Linked DNA regions of Coturnix japonica. The protein of the gene in region 1 purifies or fractionates together with the protein of each later gene. This does not show direct contact. Links are inferred from orthologs where the notes say so. Each region holds a gene or a part of one and is shown in the gene's direction. Other genes may lie near its edges. The genes, in order: SMARCA5, BAZ1A, BAZ2A, RBBP4, HMGXB4, CHRAC1 and MYO1C.

Region 1 (4,285 bases):
TCCATCTCTCTCCCCTGTCTTGCTGTGGGGAGGGGACGAGTAAATGGCTGCATTTCCTGCCTCTGTAGAGAGGTTTTGGCTGGGATCTTTTTTGACATTATGTGAATGAAATACTTGGGGCTGATGCTGTATTGCTTGTTAACTTTGAAGCAAAAATTCTTCTCTGTTTATGATGAAGGAGGAAGCGAGAGAAACAGATAAACTATCCAGGTAGTATCTAGGAAGAAAAAATAATTTTGCCATAGAGGTGAACATCTTTAGTGGCCCACAAGGATCTCAGCACCACAAAGTGCCTTGTTGGATGACCAGGATGAACAAGGCTGGGGTGGAGATGGTACTTTCCTCCCTTCTCTCTACAACTTCTCTCATCTCCCACCAGCTGGTATGATCCAACCTGGTGATTTTTAAGCCAATAAATGGTGGTGTTGAAACATCTCCATCTCTTCCCAAGTGCCCGATTTCTTCCTAAAAGCTGCACTATTCTTCACCAGGGATCTTCTACCTGTGCTTTTGAGTGCTTTTCCTGGCAGACAGAGAAATCAGGTGGGCACTGTGTGGGGATCCCAGCCCTCTGTCCTGCCTGCAGTATGCAGACGGTGCAGCATCATTGGAGGCAGCTCTAGAAGAGCCCTAAGAGCAGAGGAGAGCAGGGAAAAACTGCAACCAGGGTCCTGTTAGATTGGTACCAGTAGCAAAAATGAATTATATCGCTGTGATCTGCAGCTGCTTATATTGAAAAACGAAAGTTGCCTCCCTGAGACTGGCTTCTGTCATGAGGGAAAACAAGCAGCGGAAAACACGAGGTTTGAGAAGGTGATGAACACTTCTGCCACGTTATTCTTGTTTTCAGACACCGGGTGACACAATGGCCGGGCCGTGTCAGAGCAAATTCCTTCCATTCCTTGGACATCTAATTGCAGAGCTGTAATCACAGCACAGCTGTAATTGCGTCACTCCTCCCTGTGTGGTTTCAGGGCTGCTCAGCACAAGGGCCAGGCAGTTTTCTACGTGCACGCTCGCTCCGTGCCTCCATTACCCGCTGGTGTAGCCATGTGTACCCGTACCGGAGCGCTGTGTCGCGGGCTCTGGCCCCGTGAGTGCCCGTTGTTTAGGATCACCATGTGCGCCCCATCCGAGCCCCGATCCGGCTGTTCCTGCCCGCCGTGACGCCGCCGCGCTGCTCCCGCCCCTGCTCCTGCCCCTTCCCCCGCTGCTGTCCCTCTACACGCGGTGTCGCGGCCGTTACCGGCCCGCGCGAGGCAGCTCCGCCCCAACCCGGCTGTTGCGTGGCCGCGCTCGCGAAGGCGGAACGAGACGAGCGGCCCCAACGGCGGCTGAGGAGGAGGAGGAGGAAGGAGGCGGCCCGCCGCTGAGGCCGGGCTCTCGCGAGAGCTGCTTGCCGGCTCGGTTCCTGGTTGGTGGGATCGCGCCGAGAAAGCCGGGGCGGCAGCGGGACGACGGGACGACGGGCCTCCTCGGCCGGCCGCGCACCGGGCTCCGCTCGTAGCAGCCCGACCCCGCCGCCAGGCCGCGAGCGCGCAGCCGGCCGGGAGCGGGCCCGGCCCGTGTCCCGGCACAGCGCCGTGTGCGGGGAGCGATCATGTCCGCCGGGCAGCAGGGAACGCCGCCGCCGGACGAGCCGCCCGCGCCGCCGGGGGCCGGAGGCGGAGAGGCCTCGGGAACGGCTGCCGCCGGCACTGCCGGAGCCGACGCCGCGATGGAGGTGAGCGCCGTGCCGGCGGCGGCCCCGCGTACCGGGCCGGCGGCAGGTGCCCGCCACGAGGGCGGCGGGGCGGACCGGGAGACAATGGAGGGGCGGGCGCGGGGCCGCGCCGTGCGTCGCGGCGCCTGCGGGGGGCGGCCTGCTGCCCTGCTGCCTACTGCCTTGCTGCCCTGCTGCCCTGCTGCCTGCCGCCTTGTTTTGCTGCCTTGCTGCCTTACTGCCCTGCTGCCGCGGCGGAGCTCGGTGTGTCCGCTCCCGAGGCGGGATGGGGTCCTGCCCCCGTGGCCGCCCCGCACGGAGCCCGCAGAACTCCCGCGTGGGTTCGCCGCGCGCTGCTTCCGAGTAACGCTCCCCGGCGGCGCCGGGCGCCTCGGTGTTGGCAGCGAGTTGGCGGCGCTGAAACTTGGTGGCTGTGAAGCGGTCTGTAACTTTTTTGGGTTGTGGGTGCAGGGAGCTGCTGCGGAGCTTTTTAGCGCTGTTTTGGCGGCAGGTGCTTATTTCGGGCTCCTCCCGGGTCCCAGGGATGCGGGTTTTATCGCGGCGCCGTGTCTGTGGCGATAGGAGGAAACCGGTCGGTCCTGCTCCCCGCGCGGAGCTCTGAGTCACGCCGCCCTCCGCCATCGCAGCGCCATCCCAGCGCCGCGGTGTTGAGCGCCGTGTTTTCCGGCTGGGCGAGGAGCCGGGGCGCTGTGCGAAACGGGTCCTGCCGCGACCTGCGGGAACGGGCCGCCTCCGGGCTGTGCTGCCGCGTGGGAGCTGCGAGGCGCGGGCTCCTCATGGGCCCGCCGATCAGTTCCTGGTTCGTGGGGAAGGGAAGAGCTGTGCGTGCCGCAGAGCTTCTGGTTGGGCGGCTCTTGGTAGTCCCGGACACCTCAGAAGCACGCCGGCTTCCTGCTCTGAGGCTCAGGCTGTAGTGTGGCACTGTGCTGCGGTGTGCCTTGCTGCAGGCCTACATGGAGAAAGGGGAATTTGGCATGGAAGTTCCAACAGCCCTGTCTGCAGAACAGAGGTGGCCGGCTGTCAGCTAAAGCAGGACATGGGGAAATGGTTTTAAGTTAAAAGAGGGAAGATTTACGTTGGATGTTAGGGGAAGTTCTTTACTAGGAGAGTGCTGAGGTCCTGGAACAGGCTGCCCAGGGACGTTGTGGATCCCCCATCTGTAGAGGTATTCAAGGCAAGGTTAGATGTGGCCCTGGACAGACAGGTCTAATAAATGTGGAAGATAGGTGGCCCTACCAGGCAGGGGGAGTGGAGCTTCATGATCCTTGAGGTCCCTTCCAACCCGGGTCATTCTGTGATTCTGTGAAATCCAGCGGGTGGAGGATAGAAAGATTGGGTGTAAGGTTAGGAGACCCTTAGCCGTGACTTTACGTTCTCTGTATTTTGGCTGGTGAAGGAGGTAGCTGTGTTAGCACTGTTCCGTTTCCACGGGCTGTACCTGCGGAGTTGTGCGAGGAGCCGCCCACAAACAGCCCGTGTTTTGCCTCCCTTTGTTTAGCGGTGTTTTGTACTTGTGCCTTTGTTCTCCGCCGGCTGGGAAGAGCCGCGTTCAGCTCTCACTCGGCTCAGCCGAGCAGATGGTTAACGGTGGCTCTGAGGGCACTGCTTGTTTCTGTTTCTGAGCCTCTCAGGAGTTAGTGCATAATGTGCTGTTTTACTGTGGTTTAGCAGAGAATGGTTGCCCTGTCGTTTGGGTTCTAGGAGCAGGAGGTGAAATAATTATATGTGGGAGATGATGGGGAAAGAACTGACCTGGTGTAACGGGCAAGATGAGGACAAAAACACACTGGTTGGAAGGAGCAGATGAAGGCAGGAGGTGAAGGATTTGGCACAGATGGGCTGAAGGGAGGGCTGTCCCTCCTGCCAGCATGGTCTCCTGTTACCAGCCCTGGTGTCAGTGATAACAGTTGTTTGACGTTTCAAACCAAACAATGGAAAAAATGCAGTTTCTCTAAATTCCCATGCTGCGTTCATGACAGCTGCAGCCCAGGTTCTTAGTTAGATTTGTTCCTTTGATACAGTATGATGAGAAAGCGGGATATGCTGGAAAAAGGGAAAATGAGGGAAGCACTCTTCCTTCAGGACCAGAGCTAGTTCTTCCCCAGCACTCTCCAGAGCCAGCTGTGGGGGCGCTGGCTCAGCACTCCACGGTGGCCTGAAGAGCTGCTGCACCACAGCTGGTCCCTCATCCACCTGGGTGGGATGTGGTTACGATAGAGCTGAACTGGGTCAGAGGGAGCTGTCTGACACCCTGCGGCAGGGATCTTTGATCCAGCCCCGGGTCACATTACAGTAACAGGAGGCTAACTGCATCAGAGCAGCAAAAGGTGGATGTGCCGGCTGATGTGGATAGATGGTAATTTGCAGCGAGCTTATTCTTTTCTATATAGGTATGTTTTCTTATTCCGGAAATAAGTTTTTTTTAATTTTTTCTCCTATTAGGAATCTTTTAATGATGCATCACCAGGAAAACCAAAAGAAATCTCTGAAGCAGATCCTACATATGAAGAGAAAATGGTATGTAACACTGAGAAATCCATACAGCTGTCCTGTCTTAAGCAC
Region 2 (3,500 bases), on another chromosome or scaffold:
AGTTGAGGTCTTGTGACTAGTGGAACCTGTTCTTGCAGGCTTGAGAGCTGGCCATAATTAAGACTGTTTTTGGGGTTGTATATTTCAAGGGGAAAATGAAATGTAGTGACAGTTTATTCAATTGCAGAATGTCACTTCAGTGGTTAGAACTGTTGTTTCCTGCTTTTATTTACTTATTTCACTAAACTCTGGGTATGTGTGAGACTTGCGGTTCAACTACATTGGTCTCTTAAGGTGGTGAACTAAAAATTGCAGAAGTTTAGATTTTGAAAGTGCACTGTGTTAATGCAGTTAATATTAAGCTAAACGTATTTACCTGTAAGTGATACTTAATTGGAATGGTAATTAGTAACATTCATGAAGCCTCTCAAAAAGAGGTGCTATAGTACTTTAGTAATGTGAAATGGTAGCAAAATTCCAAGGACGCTGAAGAATCAGCCTCCTCAGTGCACAGAAGGCTGTGGATAATAAGTGTCATTGCTTTTATATTCTGGATGAGAATCATGACTGGCATGTCTGATAGATAGCTGAGAAAATAATCTAGCCCTTTTTCAGAATTTCACAAGTAGTTTAAAAAAAAAAAAAAGCCTTTTTTTCCATTGTTAAGCACTTTTTATTAAAAGTAAGGGTCTGGTTTTTTTTTCCACTGTCATTCACTTGTGATTCTAGCCTACTTATTCAATTAAAATTGTAATCTCATTGATCCCTTTTATTTGTTAATTTGTGTGGCAGTTGACAGATATTGTCTGTCCACTGAAAGTGGAAGCATGTGCCCTGCTGTTACCCTGCATACAGCTACAAAGAAATCTATCAGTAACATTTATTACCAATTAATTTTCAACTTAGTGTGTAACGGAAGTAAAACTTGCATAAAAGCCACTGAGTTGATAACTGGATTTCAGATGAATCGACTTTTCAGTAATAATTGTTTTAAATATTGAAAGTTAACTTCTTTAAAGGATTTTGCTGTAACAGATATTTCATGTGTATGTGCCATCGCTGCTTCTGAAATGCTTTAATAAGCTTCTGTAAATCTATGCATTTGGAATCAGTCATCATCTTTTGGCTTTTTTGATAGGGAAAGAAAGTAATAAATGTCTGTATGCTCATTAAGAGCTGAGAAATACAACTTTACTACAACCTTGGGAAAAAACATGTATAATACATAAGCCCTAAAATTCTGATTCTCTGAAGAACTTTCAAGTGATTGAATTTCTGGTTGGCATAGAAACAATTCAGTCTTCAAGACAATATGTTTTTCATATGTTAATTATAAGAAAGATCAATCTATTTAAACACAGTTAATTTTATTTAACTTTTTGTGAAAGAAAAAATTCTTGTTTTTTTCCTCCTATGTAGCTTTTGAGAAAGCTAGATTAAAACGAGAGAAGGCAAATGCTATAGAAGCCAGAAAAAGAGAGAAAGAAGATAAGGAAAAAAAGAAAGAAGAACTAAAGAAGATTGTGGAAGAGGAAAGGATGAAGAGGAAAGAAGAGAAAGAGAGACTCAAAATAGAAAAGGAAAAAGTAATGTATTTGCAGAATGTGTTTTATATGGGAACAGGCCATCTAGCTCATTTGGTTTGTTTGCAGTCTGTGTCATTGTTTTCCATTAACTGTTTTTAGTTCCTAGAAATGCACTTTAGAAGAGTAGATACTTGTAAGACATGATATGGAACTGCATTTCTAGATATCTTTCTGTATTTCAGGTTGTTAATTCACAAAAATATATTTTTTGTTCTCCCTTGATACTAGATTTAGATTTCCTCGTAGTTTATCTTTGAAAATTGGTTTAAAAAAACCAACCAAACAAAACAACAAAAACAAGAAAAAAAATTGTCGCTTTACATGGAATGAAATTATTTAATGCCACTGAATTCTACTACAGTCATATCCAGTACCTGTTTTGACAGTCTTTTTTTATGGCAACTTTCATGAATGCTTTTATTTTAGATTTTTTTTTTTTGTCTGACCTCCATTTGAAAACAAAAAAGTCTAATCCAAGGAAGTATTACTGAAGCTCACCCTCAGTTTTGCTAATACATTCTGTAAGAAGGTTAAAAATAGATCATCGCTTTCTGTTGAAATACGTTCTTTTTTACCCCCCCCTCCCCCCCTCCACTGTGAGTTAAGTTCTAACGAATGATCCGACTGTATCTCTAATACAATTCTGACTTTCTTTAGGAAAGAGAGAAGCTGCGTGAGGAAAAAAGAAAATATGTGGAATACCTGAAGCAGTGGAGTAAGCCTAGAGAAGATATGGAGTGTGATGATCTTAAGGTAGGGTTGAATTTGGAATATATGACAAGCTTGTATTTCATAGGGAATCTGCTTATTTTTGCTTGCCTGGACTGTTCTGTAAAACTTAAATTCAAAATTCTTGTGAAATAGTACAGTCTTAAAAGAGAGATCTTGACACCCAATCTTCTTAACTTGTCGTGGAATTGAGTTCCTTTAAACGCAGTCAAAAGTTGTGTTTATGACGTAGAATAATTTGGTATCTCAAAAGATGTATATCCAAATTACGTGCTATAAAAGTTACAAAAATGCTGTTGTGGTAATAGATTGTTTGTATCTATCTTCTGTGAAAAACAACCACAAAAAGCCACATAGGTATGATTCTTAGAACCACGGACTGTTTTTAATCAGCTGTGTATTCTGTAGGGACCAAATACAATATTAATGTCTTCCTTTTGGATTGTAGGAACTTCCAGTTCCAATGCCAGTGAAGACGAGACTTCCTCCTGAGATCTTTGGTGATGCTTTGATGGTTTTGGAGTTTTTATATGCTTTTGGGGAACTCTTTGATCTTCAAGATGAATTTCCTGAAGGAGTGACTCTAGGCAAGTTGTCATTTATGTGGCAAAATGCCTCAATTTTGTGGTGTCCTTCTACCAAGCATTTTAGATGCACCATAATACTGCTGCTACAGGATTGTCTGTGCAACTTCAATATAGCAACGCTTATACATGCACATCTATCAGTTTTTCTTCTCACCGACTTTTGCAGTGTTTATAAAAATAATTTCAATATAAAAGCTGTTAATCTATTTGCTATTACTGTCTCCTTGTGCTTTCTTAATCTGTAACTGCAAGAGTAAAACAAACTATGCATTGTCAGTTCTTACAGCGTTATTGCAGGAATATTTGTGGTAAATTATGGGAAGGTGACTGGATTATCATACCTGAAGGAAAGATGTTTGTTTTCTTTAATTCTTCAGTACGTAATTGTTTTCCAACTTTGTGGCAAAAGTGACGCTTCTTAAACTTTATTCACAGAAGTTTTAGAGGAAGCTCTTGTAGGAAATGACACTGAAGGCCCACTATGTGAACTGCTGTTTTTCTTCCTGACTGCCATCTTTCAGGCAATGGCCGAAGAGGAAGAAGAAGTGGCCAAAGATCAAATAGCTGATGCTGAGACCAAAGGTCAGGTCCTTAATTTTACTGCTAAAAACCTGATTGTGCTGGAATTAACTTTAAACTGCATGATCTGTGTCATTTC
Region 3 (3,926 bases), on another chromosome or scaffold:
GGGGGGGTATTTGTCTAATGGGGGGGGGGGGGGGGGGGGGTTGGGAAGGGGGTGGTTATCCCTGTTAATGGGGGGGGGGTGGGTATGGAGGGGGGGATGTTTTGTTAATGGGGGGTTGTTTGCTATGTTGGGGGGGTGCTGTGTATTATGGGGGGCCGGGCCCCGCCCCGTGGTGCCCAGGCCGCGGAGGGGCGGGGTCGCTTTGGGGCCGGTCGCTCCTGCCCGTCGGTTCCGCTCCCTCCGTTCCCCGGCGCATGACGAAGCTGGTTTCCTCAACTTTCCGCGCTGGCCGAACTGTTCGCCGCTAAACCGCGGCCATTTTGGGCCCCCGCTTCCAACCGAGGGGGCGGGGGCGGGGGCTTGCGGCCTCCATTAACTCCCTCTGTGGTCCTGGAGCCCTCTTGAGGAGGGGGGGGGTGGGGGGGGGGGGGGGGGGGGGGTCGTTCACCTGCCATGTGTGTGTTGTATGGGGTTCGTCCTTCCCATGTTATCACTCTGGCTTCGCCTGCTGCCCCAGCTGAGCTCTTTGCCAAATCCCCTCAGACCCTGACAACGGTGAACCTCTATGCGAGATGGATGAGACGCAGCTGTGGGCGCGATAATCCCCTTGGAAAGCCCATGAATGATACAACCCGCCCCCCCCCCCTGGAGCTCCCTGCTGCCAGCCCCGCCCCCAACGCTGCCGCTCCCTTCAACCTGCTGCCAGCCCCCGCCTCGGCCCCCGCTGCTGCCCAGCCCCAGCTCACCGCCCCCCTGCACGGTAATGGTGGGGCAACATTGTATGGTATTAGGGGGCCACAGCCAAACGAGCCCCCCAGCTGGGTGCTGGATGGGGGGGGGTCGGAAGGGATGGTGGTTGTGATGGTGCTGCCTTTGGCCCTGCAGATACCAGCCCTGAGCTGAGCAGCAGCCATGATGGCCCGGAGCAATCGGGGGCTCTGGAGCTCAGCACTGCACTGGAGCCCGAATCCCCGTGTCCTTCTGCTGAGGAAGAGGAGGAGGAAGAAGAGGAGGAGGAGGAGGAGGTGGCTGACAGCTGCACGGAGGCTTCAGCTGCTCCAGAAGGGGACAGCAAAGAGCTGCGGACACCCGCGCTGCCCACTGAGCACATCGGTGGGAGGTGAGGATGGAAACCCCCCCACCACCAATCTCGCCCTCTCACCTCCAGGCCTGGGTGCCCCTCCCCACATCGCCCATTGAGGGGAGCTGGCCCCCCATCCCTCCCCTCCCTCTGCCCTACAAGGTGAACCGTCCCACGCAGTGGCTGCATGCCACCACCCCGTCCGCCCCGAGGAGGTGCGATTCCCCTCTGCAGCACGGGTACCGTGGTGCCCTATAATCAAATTCCATAGTGCCCCATAACAAATCCTAGCCCTGGTGCCTCCATATCCAATCCCCCATTGTCCCCTATATCTAATCCTCGCTGATGCCCCCACCATCATAACCACATCTCGTCCCCCGGTGCTTCCCATATATCCATACCCCCCATGATGCCCCCAATCCACATCCCCCATAATGCCCCATATTCCACATCCTCTGTGACCCCCCCCCCCATCAATCCAAACATAAACCCCCCCTGGTGCCGCTCCATATCCCCATCCCCTGGTTGCCTCCCCATTTGTTTTTTGTTTTTTCCACATCCCTATAGTCCCCCCATATTTCCACCATACCCCCTTGTGCCCCCATATTTCCATATCCCCCTATAGTGCCCCTATATCCACGTCCCCCTGTGATGCCCCCCCCCATATCCACATCCCCCCTGCCCCCCCCCATATCCACATCCCCCCTGGCTGTGTGGGACCCCATGCTGAGCCCCCCCCTTCGTGCAGGTGGAGGAGGGAGGTGCGCATCAAAAGGGGGAACCACCGGTGGCAGGGAGAGACGTGGTACTATGGGCCGTGTGGGAAGAGGATGAAGCAGTTCCCGGAGGTGATCAAGGTACAGTATTGGGGGGGGGGGCCTCTAAGCAGCCCCCCCAGCTCTATCACAGCCCCTCATCCTCCTCCTGTCCCCCCCCCCTCAGTATCTGAATAGGAACGTGGTGCAGGACGTCCGTCGGGAACACTTCAGCTTCAGCCCACGGATGCCGGTGGGGGATTTCTATGAGGAGCGGGATACACCGGAGGTGAGCACTTCTAGAGTGCCCTATAGCACCCTATGCGATGCTATGGGGCTGTGGGTCGCTCCCTATTGGGGCTAATGGGGTTTGTTCCTATAGGGTCTGCAGTGGGTGAAGCTGAGCCCCGAGGAGATCCCAGCCCGTATCCAGGCCATCACTGGGAAACGTGGGCGACCCCGTAACGCTGAGAAGGTGAAACCCAAAGAGCTGCCAGCTGTGAAGCGAGGCCGCGGGCGGCCCCCAAAGGCCCGAATGGTGGATCTGCTCAGCAAGACGGATGCCAGGCTGCTGAAGAGGCTGGAGGCCCAAGGTACCCCCTGCCCCATAGCCCACCCCATAGCCCACCCCATAGCCCACCCCACTTGCTGTCACCAACCCCCCTTCTCTCCATTGTCATAGAGGTGCTCAGTGATGAGGACAAGCTGAAAATGAGCAAAATCAAGAAGAAAATGAGGCGGAAGGTAGGAGTGAATAGGGCTTGGGGAGGGCTGGGGGCAGCCCTAAGGCCCCTCTGGCTGGGTGGCTGACATGGAGCCTCCCCCTTCCCCATCTGGGGGGCACAGAGCAGCCCCCTGCCCCATCCAATGGGTCCCCATGTTGCTGCCCATCCCTGAGCTGCTCTTATTCCCTTCCAGGCCAAGAACAAGCAGAAGCAAGAGGCGAAAGCTCCCAAAGCCAAGGAGGCCAAGAAGAAATGCAAGGTGAGTCTGCAGCAGCCGTGGGGGGAGGGAGGGTAAAGAGGGGGCTGAGAGGGGCCACCCACCCTGGGCTGTGTTTCCAGGCCAAGGAGAAGAAAGGCAAAATGGAGAAGGGCAAAGACAAGGGGCGGCCCAAGGAGAAGAAGGGCAAAGGGCCGCGCAGGGTGGACAAGGGGCTGCTGGCCCAGCGGCGCCTGGAGGAGAGGAGACGGCAGCAGCTCATCCTGGAGGAGATGAAGAAGCCGACGGAGGATATGTGCCTGGCGGACCACCAGGTGGGGATGGGGAAGGGGGTCTGTCAGCTCTGATCCCATATAACCTGCCCTGACCGCCCCATTTTTGCCCCACAGCCTCTTCCGACCTTCTCGCGCATCCCAGGCCTGGTGCTGCCCAGCCGTGCCTTCTCCCACTGCCTGACGGTGGTGGAATTCCTGCAGAGCTACGGCAAAGTGTTGGGCTTCGAGCCCAGCAGGGACGTGCCCAGCTTGAGCACGATGCAGGAGGGGCTGCTGGGGGTGGGCGGCAGCGCCGGCGCCGTGCAGGACCTGCTGGTGAGGCTGCTGCAGGCTGCGCTCTATGACCCAGGGCTGCCCCCCTACTGCCAGGTAATGCCCTGATATGTGTCCGACCCCTCTGTGTCCCCCCCACCCCCTGCCCTGTGATGCCCTGAGGCTGCAGCTGCTGCAGGTTGAGAGCTGCATTTCAGGGCTGCCCATATTACGGCCCCATTTGGGGGCGCCCCGCTCCAGGCTTTGGGTTTTCCCATCAGATCACAGAATGGTTTGGGTTGGAATTGACCCCAAGGGTCCAAACCTCCCCATTTCGTAGCAGCCCCATCCAACCTGGCCTTGAACATCCCTAAGGGATATATGGGGCATCCACAGCTTCTCTAGGCAGCTGTTCCACTCTCATAGCAAAGAACCAGCATCCAACCTCAACCTTCAAGCCATTTCCCCTCGCTTTGCTCTTATCAACCCTTTCCAAGAGCTGACTCCCCCATTGCTGCCCCCCAACCCCTCTCTATTCCCCCACAGTCCCTTAAGATCCTGGGTGAGAAGGTGTCAGAGATCAGCCTGAACCGTGACACCGTCTCGGAGGTGCTGCGTTGT
Region 4 (3,992 bases), on another chromosome or scaffold:
CTTCCAGCTGGGGCTCTCAGCAGCAGCCGATGGGGAGCAGCTGCACACAGGCTGTGCATGAAAACAAGATTAGAAGCACAGAGTTCAGTGCTGTGCTGCTCACACTGCCGGCACACAGCAGTGACACCCAGCACCGCACCGACAGCGAGCACTGACAGTGTGCAATGCACCAACAGTGTGCACTGAGAGCATGCACCAACAGTGTGCACTGACAGTGTGCAATGCACCAACAGTGTGCACCGAGAGCATGCACCAACAGTGTGCCCTTCAGCCTCTGCAGGGAGGAACCCTGATCCTTCCGTGTGAATCACCCTCCAGCAATAAAATACTGCATCTACGAGGACATAATTCTACCAGCTCTACAGTAAGTTACACGGGTAACTTTGGCTTTGGAGCTTCACTGCACAGGGTACACAGCCTGCTGTGTGTCATGGCACATGATGGGGCACAGCACATTGTTATGGGGCACAGCACCTTATGGGGCACAGCACGTTATGGGGCACAGCACGTTGTGATGGGGCACAGCATGTCGTTATGGGGCACAGCACATTATTATGGGGCACAGCACATTATTATGGGGCACAGCACATCGTTATGGAGCACTTCAATCCCACCCAGTGGATCCCACCAGTCGGTTCCACACCGACTCTCCCTCGCAAACACATCAGACCGGCTGCAGCGCCCCATTAACTTCAGGGTAATTATTTCCCGACATCCCACGTGAGTCCACCGTGGCTTTTCCCATAGGAGCAGCTCTCACTGCCGGCCATGGGACGATCCCACACGGGATCTCCGGGTTCTGTTCGCAGATCAGCACCGAGACCTGCGAGCTGGGAAACGCTCCTGGGAGGGAATAAGGCCGAAAGAGCACAGGGCTGAGTGTGAACGGAGCCACAAACCGGGAACGGGGCGGGTCACAGAGACCCATTAAGCGACCGGTAACCGGTAGGACAGAGCTCAGGGGCAGCTCGGGGCCGGCTCACGGTGCCATCCTGCAGACCCCCCCCCCCCCCGCGCAGACCGCACTCACCGGGGCACTGTCCCTTTAAGAGCCGCCCACCCGCTCCGTCCGGAAATGGCTCCGCGGAAATGGCCGCCCTCACACGTGACCGCCGAGCGCGCTCTCCTGCCCCTCGTTCCCGCCCCTTGCCTCTCTCCGATTGGCGGAAGCCTCCCGGCGGCGGGCGGGGATTGGTCAGTGTTGGCGCGCGAAGGGGTGCGCGGCGCGGGAGCGGCAGGGAGCGGGGGCAGGAAACAATAGAGCCGCGTCCGGAGCGGAGCCAGCAGCGCCCGCCTCGCGCAGCGCAGCCTCATCCCGCCGCCCACAATGGCGGACAAGGAAGGTAAGGCCCGGCGGCGCGGCCTGGGCGCTGCGGCCTTCACTCGGCTCCGAGAGGCCTCAGGCCTCACTGCCCGCCCCCCCCGCCTCCATCGGCCGGCGCCGTGCGCAGTGATGGCGGGGGGGCTCCGGCAGGGGGCGCTGGGCCGTGCCCTGGGGCGGGGGGCGTCCCGTGCGGCCTGCGGGGCGCTGGGGGAAACAGCAGGGACCGGCCTGTTACAACGGGTTACAACGGGTCGCTACGTTGACACTGCGAGGGGCTGCGGGCGGGGGGGGCGGCGTGTCCCGCAGCAACGTTGGGTGATAAACAGCTGCGTGTGGTGGGGCCCGTTATTGAGTGAGGGCCCCGTTATTGAGTGCTCCATTATTGAGTGCCCCGTTATTGAGTGCCCACCCATCTCTGTGTGTGTTGTGCCTGTCCTGATAAACGCTAACATCCCGCATTGCTTTCATGAACCCTTCAGCAGCCTTTGATGACGCAGTGGAAGAACGTGTGATCAACGAGGAGTATAAGATATGGAAGAAGAACACACCCTTCTTATATGACTTGGTAATGACCCACGCTCTGGAGTGGCCCAGCCTGACTGCGCAGTGGCTCCCCGATGTGACGAGGTGAGGGTGCGTTCTGGATGTACTCCTTGCAGAAGTAAGGCTCCGTGTGACTCCTTGTCTCGTCTGCAAACCCCAGAGACACCTTTAATGTGGGGAAAGTGCTGCTTATCACCAAGAAAATGCTTCACGTCTTTGATTTTGATGCTTTTCTTCTTCCAGCTTCGTTCTCCTTTTTGAAATGCAAAGCCCTCCTCCCCACAGAGAACTAAATATAGTTTCACTTTAAGCACTCTTTCATCCTAATCTTCCACAACATTCTGCTTCCAAAGAGTGTATATGCATCTCCAACTGTGCGCTGGGGAGGCTGTTAGAGTCTCTTAAAGGAAGGCAGGGGAACTGCTGGAGGTATCTGGGGGTAGGTGCTGTTATGCTCCAAGAATTGTGATTTGAGATCTTGAGTTGGGAGGAGAGATTCTTCTGGAGGAAGAAATACAGTGTCAGAGCAGGAGAGCAATGGTAGTTTCTAAGGATGTTACAGGTGTCGGAAGCTGTTAGCAGTACATACCATATTCAGCTCAATGTTTGTGTAAACTCCATGTGTTTCTCACCTGAGTTTCTTCTCTCACAGGCCTGAGGGCAAGGATTTCAGCATTCACCGGTTGGTCCTGGGGACTCACACTTCAGATGAACAAAATCATCTCGTGATAGCGAGTGTGCAGCTGCCTAATGATGATGCACAGTTTGATGCCTCACACTACGATAGTGAGAAAGGAGGTAAGGGAGCAAAGATGTCAATCAGGTGGGGCTTAAACTCTGTTTTTCCTCCACTTCTTAATGGTTGAATCCATTTTTCTGCATGCTAAAAGTTCTTAACAATCTAATATTAGCTTTTCTTCTTGCCAGAAGCCTGGATTATGCAATCTGTATTGTGATCTTTGGGCTTCTTAGAGTTATTTGTAAGCAAGACAATGCTTACTTATGTTCTTTATTTTTTCTCCCACAGAGTTTGGAGGCTTTGGGTCTGTTAGCGGAAAAATTGAAATTGAAATCAAGATAAACCATGAGGGAGAAGTGAACAGAGCTCGTTACATGCCACAGAACCCATGCATCATTGCTACAAAGACTCCATCCAGCGATGTCCTCGTCTTCGATTACACCAAACATCCTTCTAAACCAGGTGGTTGGAGCTTTGTCACCTTCATGCTTCAGAGCTACAAAAATAACCACAACAGCCTTTTCTTAAGGTTGATGGGGTGCAAAAGAGGCTGAAAAGTTTTGTGGGTTGCATAGCGTGTAACTTTAATCCTTGATGTGCTGATAGTGATTCTAAGCATCGGAGTTCTTACACTGCCTTTTTACAGACCCTTCTGGAGAGTGTAACCCTGATCTGCGTCTTCGTGGACACCAGAAAGAAGGCTACGGGCTGTCGTGGAACCCAAACCTGAGTGGGCATTTGCTTAGTGCTTCTGATGATCACGTGAGTGCTTTTAAGTGTAGCTGGGGTGCGATCTGCACTTTGTGTCCCTTGACAAAGGTCAGGAATGTTTCTGTGTTTGAGGGGATGGAGGTGGGGGAGTGCAGAGAATTCCTGTCTAAAGATACAATTTTTATTCGTTTTGGTTTTCCCTTTTTTTTTTTAAAGACCATTTGCTTGTGGGATATAAGTGCTGTTCCAAAAGAAGGTAAAGTGGTGGATGCAAAGACCATCTTCACAGGGCATACAGCTGTAGTGGAAGATGTCTCCTGGCACCTGCTGCACGAATCTCTTTTTGGATCTGTTGCTGATGATCAGAAGCTCATGATGTAAGCGGGGTGCTTTCTTTAGAGGCTGAACATCTCAGTCCATTTTGCCTTCCCAGCTGCTCCCTGGTCTGCCCGTAAGGTGGGGTGTAAGCCTTCATTCCAGGTCTGTTCCTTCTGCTTACAGATGGGATACGCGGTCAAACAACACCTCCAAACCCAGCCATTCCGTGGATGCTCACACAGCTGAAGTCAACTGCCTTTCTTTCAATCCCTACAGTGAGTTTATCCTGGCTACAGGATCAGCTGATAAGGTAAATGTTTGTATTGAATTTGGAGTAGGAGTTGGTGTGTCATGTTG
Region 5 (3,500 bases), on another chromosome or scaffold:
CAACTCAGGTCAGAAAGTCTGTAGAGAAAACTTTGAAGGTGCAAGAAAGCGTATAAAGCTTAAGACGAGATGGGATGGGCTGCTTAAAAGTTCTTTTGTTTAGGAAAATTCCTGTAGAAGAAAGCAAGAACTGTTAATTGTGTCCTGAATTGTTCAGTAGCTTTACTGGGTGAATGGAGGGGGTCGGTCCCAGTTAAAACGGATTCTGATTTTTTTCCTCAGAAAATAGAGCTGTAGTATCTTATCCTTGACTTCATGTACTACCCTGCAAAACTGAGATAGTATGAATGACTGTTCACACGAAAAGTAAGATACTTAGAATCTATAGTTGCATAAATAGGCAGCAAAGTATGAATGAAATGTGAAGTGATGCGCTGTTGTCTTCCAGATTCTGCAGATAGTCTGAAATGATAACTCTTGAGAGGGATAAATTTGCCCGGTTTCCTTGGGGCCTTAACTTTGAAATCATGTAGCAACAGCTTAAGTTTCTTTAAGACTTTCCTCTTTGAGCTGTTTCTGCTGTTAGCTCAACAATGACTACTTGTGATTTTTTTTAATGCTTTCAAATCTGGAAAAGTTCTAGTTTAAAAATAAAAATCTTCTGCCACATAGATGAAATTCTATAGAAGAGCTTCATTCTCAGACCATAAATTTGTCAAGAGATATGTAATAATTGGGCTACATGAGCTACTAAGGTCTATTTTCTGGCCTATCATTTTGACTGTCACCTCTGTGCTTTCTTCTGTTATCTTCTCCAGCATGTTAAATATGTACTGCTCACCTTCATTTTTAAGGCTTGACAGCCTATGCACGCTTATTTCTTAGCTTGATTAAGACGTGGATGTCTGTCTTTTAACAACTCATCAGCTGATGCCCAAGTGCTGTCTTTCATTGTCTGTTTCTTAACATTCTCAAATGTACTTTTTCATGTATTCTTGTGTATTAATTCTTTCGCTGGAGGAGGGATCCCTCTATATTTATAGATCTATCTATATCCCTCTAGTCTAATCTATAGAGATTAGTATTTCAGTTTCCTATGGTCCTGTTGTACTGTAGTTTCCACAGAAAGCTTGATGCTTCTTAGTTGGCTGGCATGCAGAAACCTATTCTAAAACTGCATTTTTTTGTTCTCTTGTGTATCCATACCATGCTTTTTGCCTTTTACCTTAAACCTACACTATGGGCTCTTGGTGACATACTATGTTTTCTTTGCTGATTTAGCACCTAGAATAAGAATAGTGGTTCATACGTAGGCTTACTTGGCATTATAGTAGTACAAGTATTTCTTGATACCTCCCACAGATTATTACCTATGTCAGCAGTCCATGTGAATCTTATGTTATTTCCCTCTTGTTTGTCAGCTTTTCATTCATTTATTTTTTCTTCTTCTTTTAGGACAGTGAACTCTTTTTGGGGACAGAACATCACAGAAAGAAGAGGAAGCATTCCTCTGATGAGTTCTGCTCCCGGGGTAAGACAGCTATGAGACAGGGGAAGCAGATAATGAATACTGACTTTGAGAAAAGGATACTGTTAAACCAGTGTCATCAAACTTTGTGGTTAGCGCTTTATCGGGGGAAAGTACACCAACTTATCTTAGGCCAGGCAGTCAGACGCCTGACTGATTAGGTTTCTGCTGCACCAAACAGCAAAAGATCACTCAATGATGTTTTCAGAGTTTAGCTTAACAAGTTGCTGTTGTTGGAGCAGAGATCTTCCACTCTTCACTGACAAGTTGTAGTTTTCTAACTCATGCTTTCCTCTTTGGCATTTGCATTCTTTTTTACCACTGCATTACAAGCTGTAGTCTTACTTGCAGATAGTACTAATTAATTTATCCGAATTTATAAAAATAGGATGTATTAGAATACAATATGATTGCTTTTGAGTTCAGATTGTATACAGAAGCGTTATTCACACAATGAGCCCATAAATTGACAATCCTGTTCATAAATCTTAGCAGGCTTAAGATTTATTTTTGTCCCAGTGTAAAAAGAAAACCAGGTCTTTGGAATCTCTTTGCAAGCTGAAATTAGTAAAAAATCTCTTTTCAGAATGAAAATGGTTATGCTCTCAGTTCATTGATCCCTCCAGGGCTCAAAGTGATGTTATAAGCTTGTAATATTTCAGGCTTAGTAAGACGTATTTTTATCAAATTATGCTGTTGTATAATAGAATACAAACTTTGATGAAATGCAAGAACTTTCCCATTCTGTCTTTCTTCATTAAATAGATTGACCAGCTCTGGTGTTACAGCTCTTGAATTGTTATCTATAAGGGCACACTGAGCTGACTGCAAGTTTCTCCTTCAGCCAAGATGAAAATCACTTAGCTGTAATATTAAGTATTGCAGGATTCCCACTTCACTTTTGGTTTGTGTAATGGTATCGTTAAGAGAATTGTATTGATAAGCAGTTCTCTTGACCATTTTCAGGTCTTTCATCTTTGGATCTACCATCAAAGAAGAAGAAAAAAGCAGTTTCTAGCCCGTCCTCCACTGACAAAAACATGGATCTACTCAAGGCTATCGCCACACCTTTATCCACAAGCTCTAAGTCTTCAAAGAAGACCTCTGAAAAATCATCTTATTCTTCCTCTGGACATTCTGAAAGCAGAAAGGAGCACCACAAGAAGAAGATGAGTGGGAGCAGTGCAGAGCACTCAGTGGACGATGGCAGCTTCCACAAAACTAAAAAAATGAAACCTCTTTACGTGAACACAGAGACACTTACCCTTCGTGAGCCTGATGGCTTGAAGATGAAGCTTATCCTTTCGCCAAAAGAGAAAAGCAGTGCTACAGACGATGATTCTTTCTCAAAAAAATCCTCAAAGAAATCGTCTCGAGATGAACAAGGGTCATTTCATCCGGGTCACGAACTGCATGGCTTCCTGAAGTCATCTCGGAAGAAGCACAAACCTCCAGACTCACATCCCCCTTCAGAGAGTTTTGGTGCTGACACATCTGTTTTTTCAGAAGGCCATGGGAGTGAGTATGAGATTTCAGGTGTGGAGGCACCACCAGAATCAGGATCCTCTTCTGGTGGGGAATTGGAGGCTGGTGAGCTAGTGATAGATGACTCCTACCGGGAAATTAAGAAGAAAAAGAAGTCAAAAAAAAGTAAGAAAAAAAAAGACAAGGAGAGGCACAGGGAGAAGAGGCACTCTAAGTCTAAAAAGAGTTCTGGGCACTCTTCTGTGGCAGCAACGGAAATAACAGTGTCACCACCACCTCCTTCCAGCACTCCCTATGTTCTTCCTCCACCTCATCCTGCTGTTTTTCACTCAGATGGACAAAATGAGAAGAGGAGGAAAAAGGAAGAAAAGGAGAAGGAAAAAGCTGAGAAGTGGGAAAAAGAAAAGGAAAGAGAAAAGGAGAAGGAAAGAGAAAAGGAAAAGGAAAGAGAAAAGGAGAAGGAAAGAGAAAAGGAGAAGGAAAGAGAAAAAGAGAAGGATAGAGAAAAGGAAAAAGAAAGAGAAAAGGAAAGAGAAAGAGAAAAGGA
Region 6 (4,234 bases), on another chromosome or scaffold:
GTTCCAACATGGCCAAATATTCTATTATTCCAGCTGTAAATTGGAGTAGTTGATGTTTTATTGTCTCTAGGAGATAATCAGATTGTGACTCTGTAAACACAACAGTGTAGAGCTTTGACATTGCCATTAAGCTACTCAATCTCCTGGTTGAATTCATTCCAAGTGGTGGAGAAACTGAGAAGATGCTTAAATATGTATCTCGCTGTCATAGTAATGTCAACTGTTTCCACAAGGTGTCACAAGACTACAAGGATCAAACAAACTGAGCCTGATCGATACATATACAGCATCATTGTACATAACACTTCACTTTGGATATAATCTACAGAGTGATTTCACCAGTGTTGTACTCTGAAGTGAATCACGCAGTCCAAGAGGTTTTGATTGCTGTTGCTTAACTGTCAAAGTTGTCTCCAGATACGGTGATGCTGGACCCAAAGCCAATGAACAAATATATATTGTTGTGCTATCGCTGTATTAAGTTGCTGACAACTGTTGAAGGTGCCACATTTTACCCAACAAGTTGTGCACCCATCCAAACCACAGGCTGTGCAAGACATTGCTGACCATACCCACAGCCATTCCCCATCCACCTGCAGCTCAACACAGAGTGTAGGTGCTACATATATGTGGAATGCATTCATAAAGTCACCACCGCCATCATTACTTCATAGTTTACTTATGCTCTCCACACCCAGCACGCCTACAAGCGCCAGGATACCAGACAGCGCTCCCTGCTATTGGGCTGCAGCAGCTTAATGAGGCGTTTAGCAACCTGTGATTACACTCATGACTCTGTAGCCGCTGGCCTCTACTTGGATTATATTTAGGAAGCGCCTATTTGCCATTATAAACGAGTTCCAGGCGCTCAAGCAGTATGAGACCCTTGGTTGCGGGGTGACCTCATTGCAGCCTTTCAATACCTGAAGGGAACTGACTCCCAGGAGGGGAGTAAACTCTTCGAAAGGGCTGACAATAGCAGGACATGGGGAAATGGTTTTAAGTTAAAAGAGGGAAGATTTAGGTTGGACGTTAGGGGGAAGTTCTTCACTAGGAGAGTGGTTAGACCCTGGAACAGGCTGCCCTGGGAGGTTGTGGATGCCCCGTCCTTGGAGGTGTTCAAGACCAGGTTGGACGGGGCCCTGGGCAACCTGATCTAGTAAAGGTGTATGTTTGGTGGCCCTGCTGGGCAGGGGGGTTGGAACATAATGATCCTTGAGGTCCCTTCCAACCCGGGTCATTCTATGATTCTGTGAGACCCGCTCTGAGGGGCTGTGAGGAGCCGCCATCCCGCCCATAGCACCAGAGCCGGCAACGGCCGAGCGCGGGGGCTCGTAGTCCTCCCGCCGCCCGGTCAGCGCTCGGCTTCACGGGAGCTGTAGTCCCTCCTCCTCCTCCCTCCAACGGAGCTCGGGTTCCCTCTGTCGGTCACGGACTACAGCTCCCAGGGGGCCGAGCTGCTGCCGCCCATTTCTCGCTACGATGAGGGGTGAAAGGCCGGGGCCGCGCCGGGGGGGTAAAATGGCGGCCAGGTTGAGCGGCGGGGAGAACCGGCTGGTGTCACTGCCGCTATCGCGGATCCGAGTCATCATGAAGAGCTCGCCGGAGGTTTCCAGCATCAACCAGGACGCGCTTTTCCTCACCGCTAAAGCCACGGTAGCGTCTCCCGCTTTCCCTCCCCTCTCGGCCGGGTTGCGCCTTTTCCCTCAGCGCCACAGCATCCAGCGCCCTGTATATACCTGCACTTTAATTTTTTATGGCTTTGATTGGGAGTTAAACTGCCTTTTTTATATCCGAGTCACTATTATTTGCTTTCCGTTTTAGGAGCTTTTCGTTCAGTATTTGGCGTCGTACTCCTACAAACACGGCAGAGGCAAGGAGAATAACGCCCTCACCTACAGCGACCTGTCTCACACCGCAGAGGAGTGCGAAACCTTTCAGTTCCTTGCAGGTATCTGTAGAGCAGTGGTAATCCTGTGTGTAGTTTTGTAGATCTGCTGCACTTTAGCCACTCTTCCACTCCTGCTTTTGCAATCACCTCTGCTAGGTGCCCTTATTATGTGTGCAAAAAGATGTGGAGTTGTTAGAGCAGGTCTGCAGGAGGGCCACAAAGATGATCAAAGGGCTGGAGCACCTCTCTTATGAAGAAAGGTTCTTTAGCTTAGGGAAGAGAAGGCTCCAGAGGGACCTCATTGCAGCACTTGAATGGAGCTTACAAGCAGGAGGAAGTCTGACTTTTTACATGGTCTCAGCGATAGAACAAGGGGGGGGGGGGGTTAAAACTAAAAGAGGGGAGATTTAAATTGGATTTTTATTAATTTTTATTTTATTATTACTTTTCTTATTTTTTACTGAGAGGGTGGTGAGGCACAGCAACAGGCTGCCTAGAGAAGCTGGAGATTCCCCCTCCATGGAGGGGTTCAAGGCCAGGTTGGGTGGGACCCTGGGCAGCCTGGTCTGGTGGGTGGCAGCCCAGACCATATATAGTTGGAACTAGATAGGCTTTTAAGGTCTCTTCCAACCCAATCTATTCTGTGATTCAAATCAAACTCATAATCTACATTGCTGAAAACACCTATTTGTGGACAGGGATTTCTCCAGTGTTGCAAAATTATACTGGGGTAATTAGTGCTCAGTGTATTGCCATAAGCGTTTCTAACATGCCAACAACATTTAAAAGCTTTCAGCTTGTAAAACAAGACCCAAAAAAGATGTGACAAATTACATGGCTCAAAAAGCATTTAATTCTGCAAATCCTGTTTGTTGAAAATTATGCATCCTATGGTTCCTCTCTCTTTTTTAATGCACATATTTACATCTGTACGCACATGTGCATGCAGACCTTTCTCTTGTTGTAATTTATTGGTAATGTTTCACTCTGAAAGGGCATGGACATAGGATAGAGTCTGAGAATGAGATATTTGATGGCCCTTGTCTCAGGGCCATCGTTACTGCCCTGAATGAGCATCTTACCTGAACACAGTAATCAGGTTTGTCTAGGACACAAGTAAGGCAGCTGTCCTATTGAATCTCTCAAAGGCTGTTGAGTAATTGAGCATCCCATTTAACATCAAACAAATAACATTGCTTATAGTTAAAAAAGAAAAAAGGAATTACATCCACTTCCACTTGTGATACATCTGTACGCCAGGCTAAATTAACTGGTTATTAACTGAAATGTGTTAGTTGCTTTGGTTTTGTTTAGTGCTGCTCAGTCCCTTCTAACCTCTGTGACTGTGTGATCCTGTATGAATGCAACACTATGAAATAGGCAATGTAAGTACTTACACTGACTAAAAGAAGCCATTCTCCCTTCCAGATATCTTGCCAAAGAAAATCCTAGCTAGCAAATACCTAAAAATGCTCGAAAAAGAGAAGCGAGGTGGAGAGTTGGGGAACTGTGATGAAGAGGATGATGATGAAGAGGATGATGATGAAGCTGTGGATGAAGCTGTTGGATCTTAAGGCTAAATGGGAAGCTGCTTCATAATTGATCCATTTTTTTTTGTTGCGTAAAGGATGTTATTTTTGTGACTGAGAATCCAGATGCTGGATTTATTTATACACTGAGCCATCTGCTTTTGCTTTAAGAAGTTTAAAAACTGAACTGCGTACTTCCTGAAGAATGGAATTCTTCCCTCAGAAACGTGGTGACAAGAGAAGCACTAATGTAAAGCTGACAGCAGAACTTGCTCAGATGAATGAGAATGACTTCTTCAGACAATCGTTTTCCAAACGTACAATTCCTCACAGGCAGCTCTCAGTCCAAAAGCTCTTTCACTCTTTAAAGGGAGCTCTTTCCCATGTTGTGTTTCTCAGGTGAGGGGAGGGGTTTTACACAGGATCTGCTCCCCCTGGTCCTCTTCTGCTTGGGGAGCCAGGAAGCGATCCAACCCTTCCCCTGTATTCCGGAACAGTGGCAGGGCATTAGCAGTGGACCAAGCCCGATTTGAATGAGTGTTCTGTTTTGATTTTGATTTAGCTTTAAAAAAAAGAATAATAATAATAATAAAGCTCTTGCTGTAATGCAGCCTAAACCGGCACATCCGCACAGAAGCTGAGTAGAGGACGAGAACCATTCCAACAGCGAATGTGTTTCAGTGGCCGCAGTGATAAGAAGTAGATGTGGTGGATAACAGCATCAATGTGTACAAGATCCTTCCTCTGTAATCAGCTCTGTGTGCCCGTGGTGCTCTGATAAAATACGCTGAGTGAAGTCTGTTAAACGTGGATT
Region 7 (2,364 bases), on another chromosome or scaffold:
AAATGGGATTCACCAGTGACTGACAGGAGTGGTCGTGTCCCCTTGCCCCCATTGCTGTTACCTTGTGAATGAAGTCACTGCTGTCAGTGCAGTGTGACCCGAGAGATGTTTTCCATGCCAACCTGTTGGAGATAGAACTTCAAACCAATTCTCTTGGTGCAGTCACTGAGAAGCCACGATCACAGACTATTGGTTTTCCACCCTAGGGCGACGTTGTACTTCAAAGCGACCACGTGATAGAGACACTGACAAAGACAGCCATGAGGGCAGACAAAGTGAATAACATCAACATCAACCAGGGCAGGTGAGTGGAGCCGTGCAGGCCCAGCCCTGCTCAGGAGCTGCTTCATTTTTGTGTTGGTTCAGCTTTAGCATTACAGGGCTACAGGCATTAAGTATGTCATCAGAATATAATTAACTAAGCCTCCGTTTCCTTGAAGTTCACCTATAGCCATTAAGCACCGGTAAAGTGAAGCCACACATTCTAAATCATGTTTCTCACCTGTTTTTCTCTGCAGCATAAAATTCACAGTCGGTCAAGGCAAGGAAGGAGTCATCGATTTTATATCAGGCTCAGAACTGCTCATAGCCAAAGCCAAGAACGGCCATTTAACAGTGGTGAGTACAGGACTGGTAAGAAAAGTTACACACAGTGCATCAGAACGCAGACCTTGTCACTAGGCCACATTCACTGCAGAGACACGTGCCATGATTTCCCTGCTGAACACACTGTTCCTGCTCCAGGAACCCTCTCCCCAGTTGGAGTCCTGCACTTCTCTGGTCCCAGCACACTGCCAGGCTTGCTCAAACTCAAGTAACAGTCCTATCAATCACTTGGGTTCTTTTACACGATTCTGTCTTTAGTGCAAGTCAAGTTTTAAAGGACTTAAAAACACAAGAAGAAAAACAATTCATCCCTTTTGGAATTGTTTGTGGTCAGAAATGAATCCAGAGCCTCTTATTACAGCATCAGTGCTGAAAGATCCCCTCCCCTGCCATTCTGCAGGATGGCAGCTGTCAGGAATGGACTCAGCATTCCCACTTTGCTCAAACAAACCTGCCTTGTAAAGCCCACACACACAGTCCTGTCAGAGGCTTTCCCTGCTCCATGGGACACCCACCAGCTCTACACAGGAAGATTGAATTTGCTCAAGCACACTGCAGTGAGGATCCCACCTCTCTCCATTTGCAGTCAGCAAACCAAACTAAGAAGAAACGCATCCCTTTTCCACCAGCACTTTCAAACCATCCCTAAGATCATTCTTCCAGTTTTGCCCTCCCTCCCACTGCCCACAGAACAGATCACTCCTGCAGTGCTGAGCCTAAGGGAGCAGCATCACGTCTCCCATTGAACAGCCAGCACCTGCTTGTTTCCTGCTGAGCTTCAGTATTCCCAGAGGGAGCTTTATGTGCCCGTAACATCCCCCATAGCTCGTCCTGCAGGCCAGTCTTTGGTGAGCTTTAAGGATATTCAGGAGCTAAAGCCATTGCAGCACCTGTTTCTAGCTTGTCTGTCTCCTCCTGCAGGTTGCACCTCGGTTGAACTCCCGATGATAGAAGTGCCACCATCACAGAACCCCTTCCTCCATCAGTCTGACTACCCCCATCCATCCGTACCTTGGCTGGGTGTTGATCCCAGCACACCCCCTGCAGCCTCCCTCGCTTTGCTCATTGTGTATCGTTACCAAAGACCTGCACTTCCAGCATCCCCACAGAACGCATCCTGCTTTCTTGTCTTAACATGAAAGTTCCAAAAGAAAGGCCTTCTCTTCTCTTCCTCACCTTAGTGGCAAACAACAAGGGTCCAACACGACGGCCATGAAACCGTGGCTCACGAAACCTGCTTGGCCGGGCTTTGAGAGGTAGTTCTGACTCTATGTGAGTTTTAAGCCTTGATGGAAACGACCAAAATTTGTGCTTGACATCATCCAAAAGCACAAGCAGAAGAAACGCTGCTCTGTCAGCAGTCACCGAAATGCCAAACTTTATATTCAGAGTGTTTGATGGATGATTTTGAGATGTCGCAATGCTTTATGTTACAATATTAAAGCCATATCGTGTAAATGAGTAAAAAAAACCCCAACCCTGTAAATACTTTATAGCTGAATATGAGAGATTTACTACAAGAAACGGCACTGATGTGGAAACGTATGTTTTAGATTTGGAATTTCTGTTGTTTTTAAGTTTATGAACAGACTGTATTAACCTGATGAACCCATCACATCACCAACTCATCTGGATACAGCAGCTTTTCTTTTTGCAGCCTCCTCTCCCATTTCTGGCAGCACAGCCATGTTTTTATACTGCAGTATCAGAACTGCATCCAAACAGAACCTAAGGAACACAAACTGCAGAGGTCAGCAC

Evidence for each region.
Region 2: the proteins of SMARCA5 (region 1) and BAZ1A purify together in Homo sapiens (affinity purification with western blotting; 8 studies listed by BioGRID and IntAct, with this or other methods). This does not show direct contact. The link is inferred for Coturnix japonica from reciprocal best matches to the Homo sapiens genes SMARCA5 and BAZ1A.
Region 3: the proteins of SMARCA5 (region 1) and BAZ2A purify together in Homo sapiens (affinity purification with western blotting; 3 studies listed by BioGRID and IntAct, with this or other methods). This does not show direct contact. The link is inferred for Coturnix japonica from reciprocal best matches to the Homo sapiens genes SMARCA5 and BAZ2A.
Region 4: the proteins of SMARCA5 (region 1) and RBBP4 fractionate together in Homo sapiens (co-fractionation; 6 studies listed by BioGRID and IntAct, with this or other methods). This does not show direct contact. The link is inferred for Coturnix japonica from reciprocal best matches to the Homo sapiens genes SMARCA5 and RBBP4.
Region 5: the proteins of SMARCA5 (region 1) and HMGXB4 purify together in Homo sapiens (affinity purification with mass spectrometry; 3 studies listed by BioGRID and IntAct, with this or other methods). This does not show direct contact. The link is inferred for Coturnix japonica from reciprocal best matches to the Homo sapiens genes SMARCA5 and HMGXB4.
Region 6: the proteins of SMARCA5 (region 1) and CHRAC1 fractionate together in Homo sapiens (co-fractionation; 5 studies listed by BioGRID and IntAct, with this or other methods). This does not show direct contact. The link is inferred for Coturnix japonica from reciprocal best matches to the Homo sapiens genes SMARCA5 and CHRAC1.
Region 7: the proteins of SMARCA5 (region 1) and MYO1C purify together in Homo sapiens (affinity purification with western blotting; 3 studies listed by BioGRID, with this or other methods). This does not show direct contact. The link is inferred for Coturnix japonica from reciprocal best matches to the Homo sapiens genes SMARCA5 and MYO1C.

Annotation. Positions count from the first base shown.
Region 1 is NC_029519.1:26,870,098-26,874,382, forward strand, and holds the start of SMARCA5 (SWI/SNF-related matrix-associated actin-dependent regulator of chromatin subfamily A member 5), read left to right. Parts: upstream 1-1,485; 5' UTR 1,486-1,600; coding exon 1,601-1,723; intron 1,724-4,061; exon of another isoform or gene 4,062-4,076; coding exon of another isoform or gene 4,077-4,079; intron 4,080-4,165; coding exon 4,166-4,240; intron 4,241-4,285. UniProt on the Homo sapiens protein: ATPase that possesses intrinsic ATP-dependent nucleosome-remodeling activity.
Region 2 is NC_029520.1:32,602,264-32,605,763, reverse strand, and holds part of BAZ1A (bromodomain adjacent to zinc finger domain protein 1A), read left to right. Parts: intron 1-1,359; coding exon 1,360-1,526; intron 1,527-2,183; coding exon 2,184-2,279; intron 2,280-2,703; coding exon 2,704-2,842; intron 2,843-3,277; coding exon 3,278-3,424; intron 3,425-3,500. UniProt on the Homo sapiens protein: Regulatory subunit of the ATP-dependent ACF-1 and ACF-5 ISWI chromatin remodeling complexes, which form ordered nucleosome arrays on chromatin and slide edge- and center-positioned histone octamers away from their original location on the DNA template to facilitate access to DNA during DNA-templated processes such as DNA replication, transcription, and repair.
Region 3 is NC_029544.1:1,717,421-1,721,346, forward strand, and holds the start of BAZ2A (bromodomain adjacent to zinc finger domain protein 2A), read left to right. Parts: upstream 1-1,126; coding exon 1,127-1,320; intron 1,321-1,829; coding exon 1,830-1,938; intron 1,939-2,023; coding exon 2,024-2,125; intron 2,126-2,218; coding exon 2,219-2,429; intron 2,430-2,518; coding exon 2,519-2,580; intron 2,581-2,754; coding exon 2,755-2,820; intron 2,821-2,900; coding exon 2,901-3,092; intron 3,093-3,167; coding exon 3,168-3,422; intron 3,423-3,851; coding exon 3,852-3,926. UniProt on the Homo sapiens protein: Regulatory subunit of the ATP-dependent NoRC-1 and NoRC-5 ISWI chromatin remodeling complexes, which form ordered nucleosome arrays on chromatin and facilitate access to DNA during DNA-templated processes such as DNA replication, transcription, and repair.
Region 4 is NC_029538.1:4,587,403-4,591,394, forward strand, and holds the start of RBBP4 (histone-binding protein RBBP4), read left to right. Parts: upstream 1-1,192; 5' UTR 1,193-1,327; coding exon 1,328-1,343; intron 1,344-1,803; coding exon 1,804-1,951; intron 1,952-2,519; coding exon 2,520-2,665; intron 2,666-2,894; coding exon 2,895-3,068; intron 3,069-3,252; coding exon 3,253-3,368; intron 3,369-3,533; coding exon 3,534-3,694; intron 3,695-3,818; coding exon 3,819-3,945; intron 3,946-3,992. UniProt on the Homo sapiens protein: Core histone-binding subunit that may target chromatin assembly factors, chromatin remodeling factors and histone deacetylases to their histone substrates in a manner that is regulated by nucleosomal DNA.
Region 5 is NC_029516.1:47,646,101-47,649,600, reverse strand, and holds part of HMGXB4 (HMG domain-containing protein 4), read left to right. Parts: coding exon 1-8; intron 9-1,395; coding exon 1,396-1,471; intron 1,472-2,434; coding exon 2,435-3,344; intron 3,345-3,500. UniProt on the Homo sapiens protein: Negatively regulates Wnt/beta-catenin signaling during development.
Region 6 is NC_029517.1:131,125,106-131,129,339, forward strand, and holds the start of CHRAC1 (chromatin accessibility complex protein 1), read left to right. Parts: upstream 1-1,434; 5' UTR 1,435-1,482; coding exon 1,483-1,656; intron 1,657-1,824; coding exon 1,825-1,951; intron 1,952-3,319; coding exon 3,320-3,465; 3' UTR 3,466-4,234. UniProt on the Homo sapiens protein: Forms a complex with DNA polymerase epsilon subunit POLE3 and binds naked DNA, which is then incorporated into chromatin, aided by the nucleosome remodeling activity of ISWI/SNF2H and ACF1.
Region 7 is NC_029534.1:4,011,093-4,013,456, reverse strand, and holds part of MYO1C (unconventional myosin-Ic), read left to right. Parts: intron 1-206; coding exon 207-304; intron 305-518; coding exon 519-618; intron 619-1,527; coding exon of another isoform or gene 1,528-1,554; exon of another isoform or gene 1,555-1,902; intron 1,903-2,364.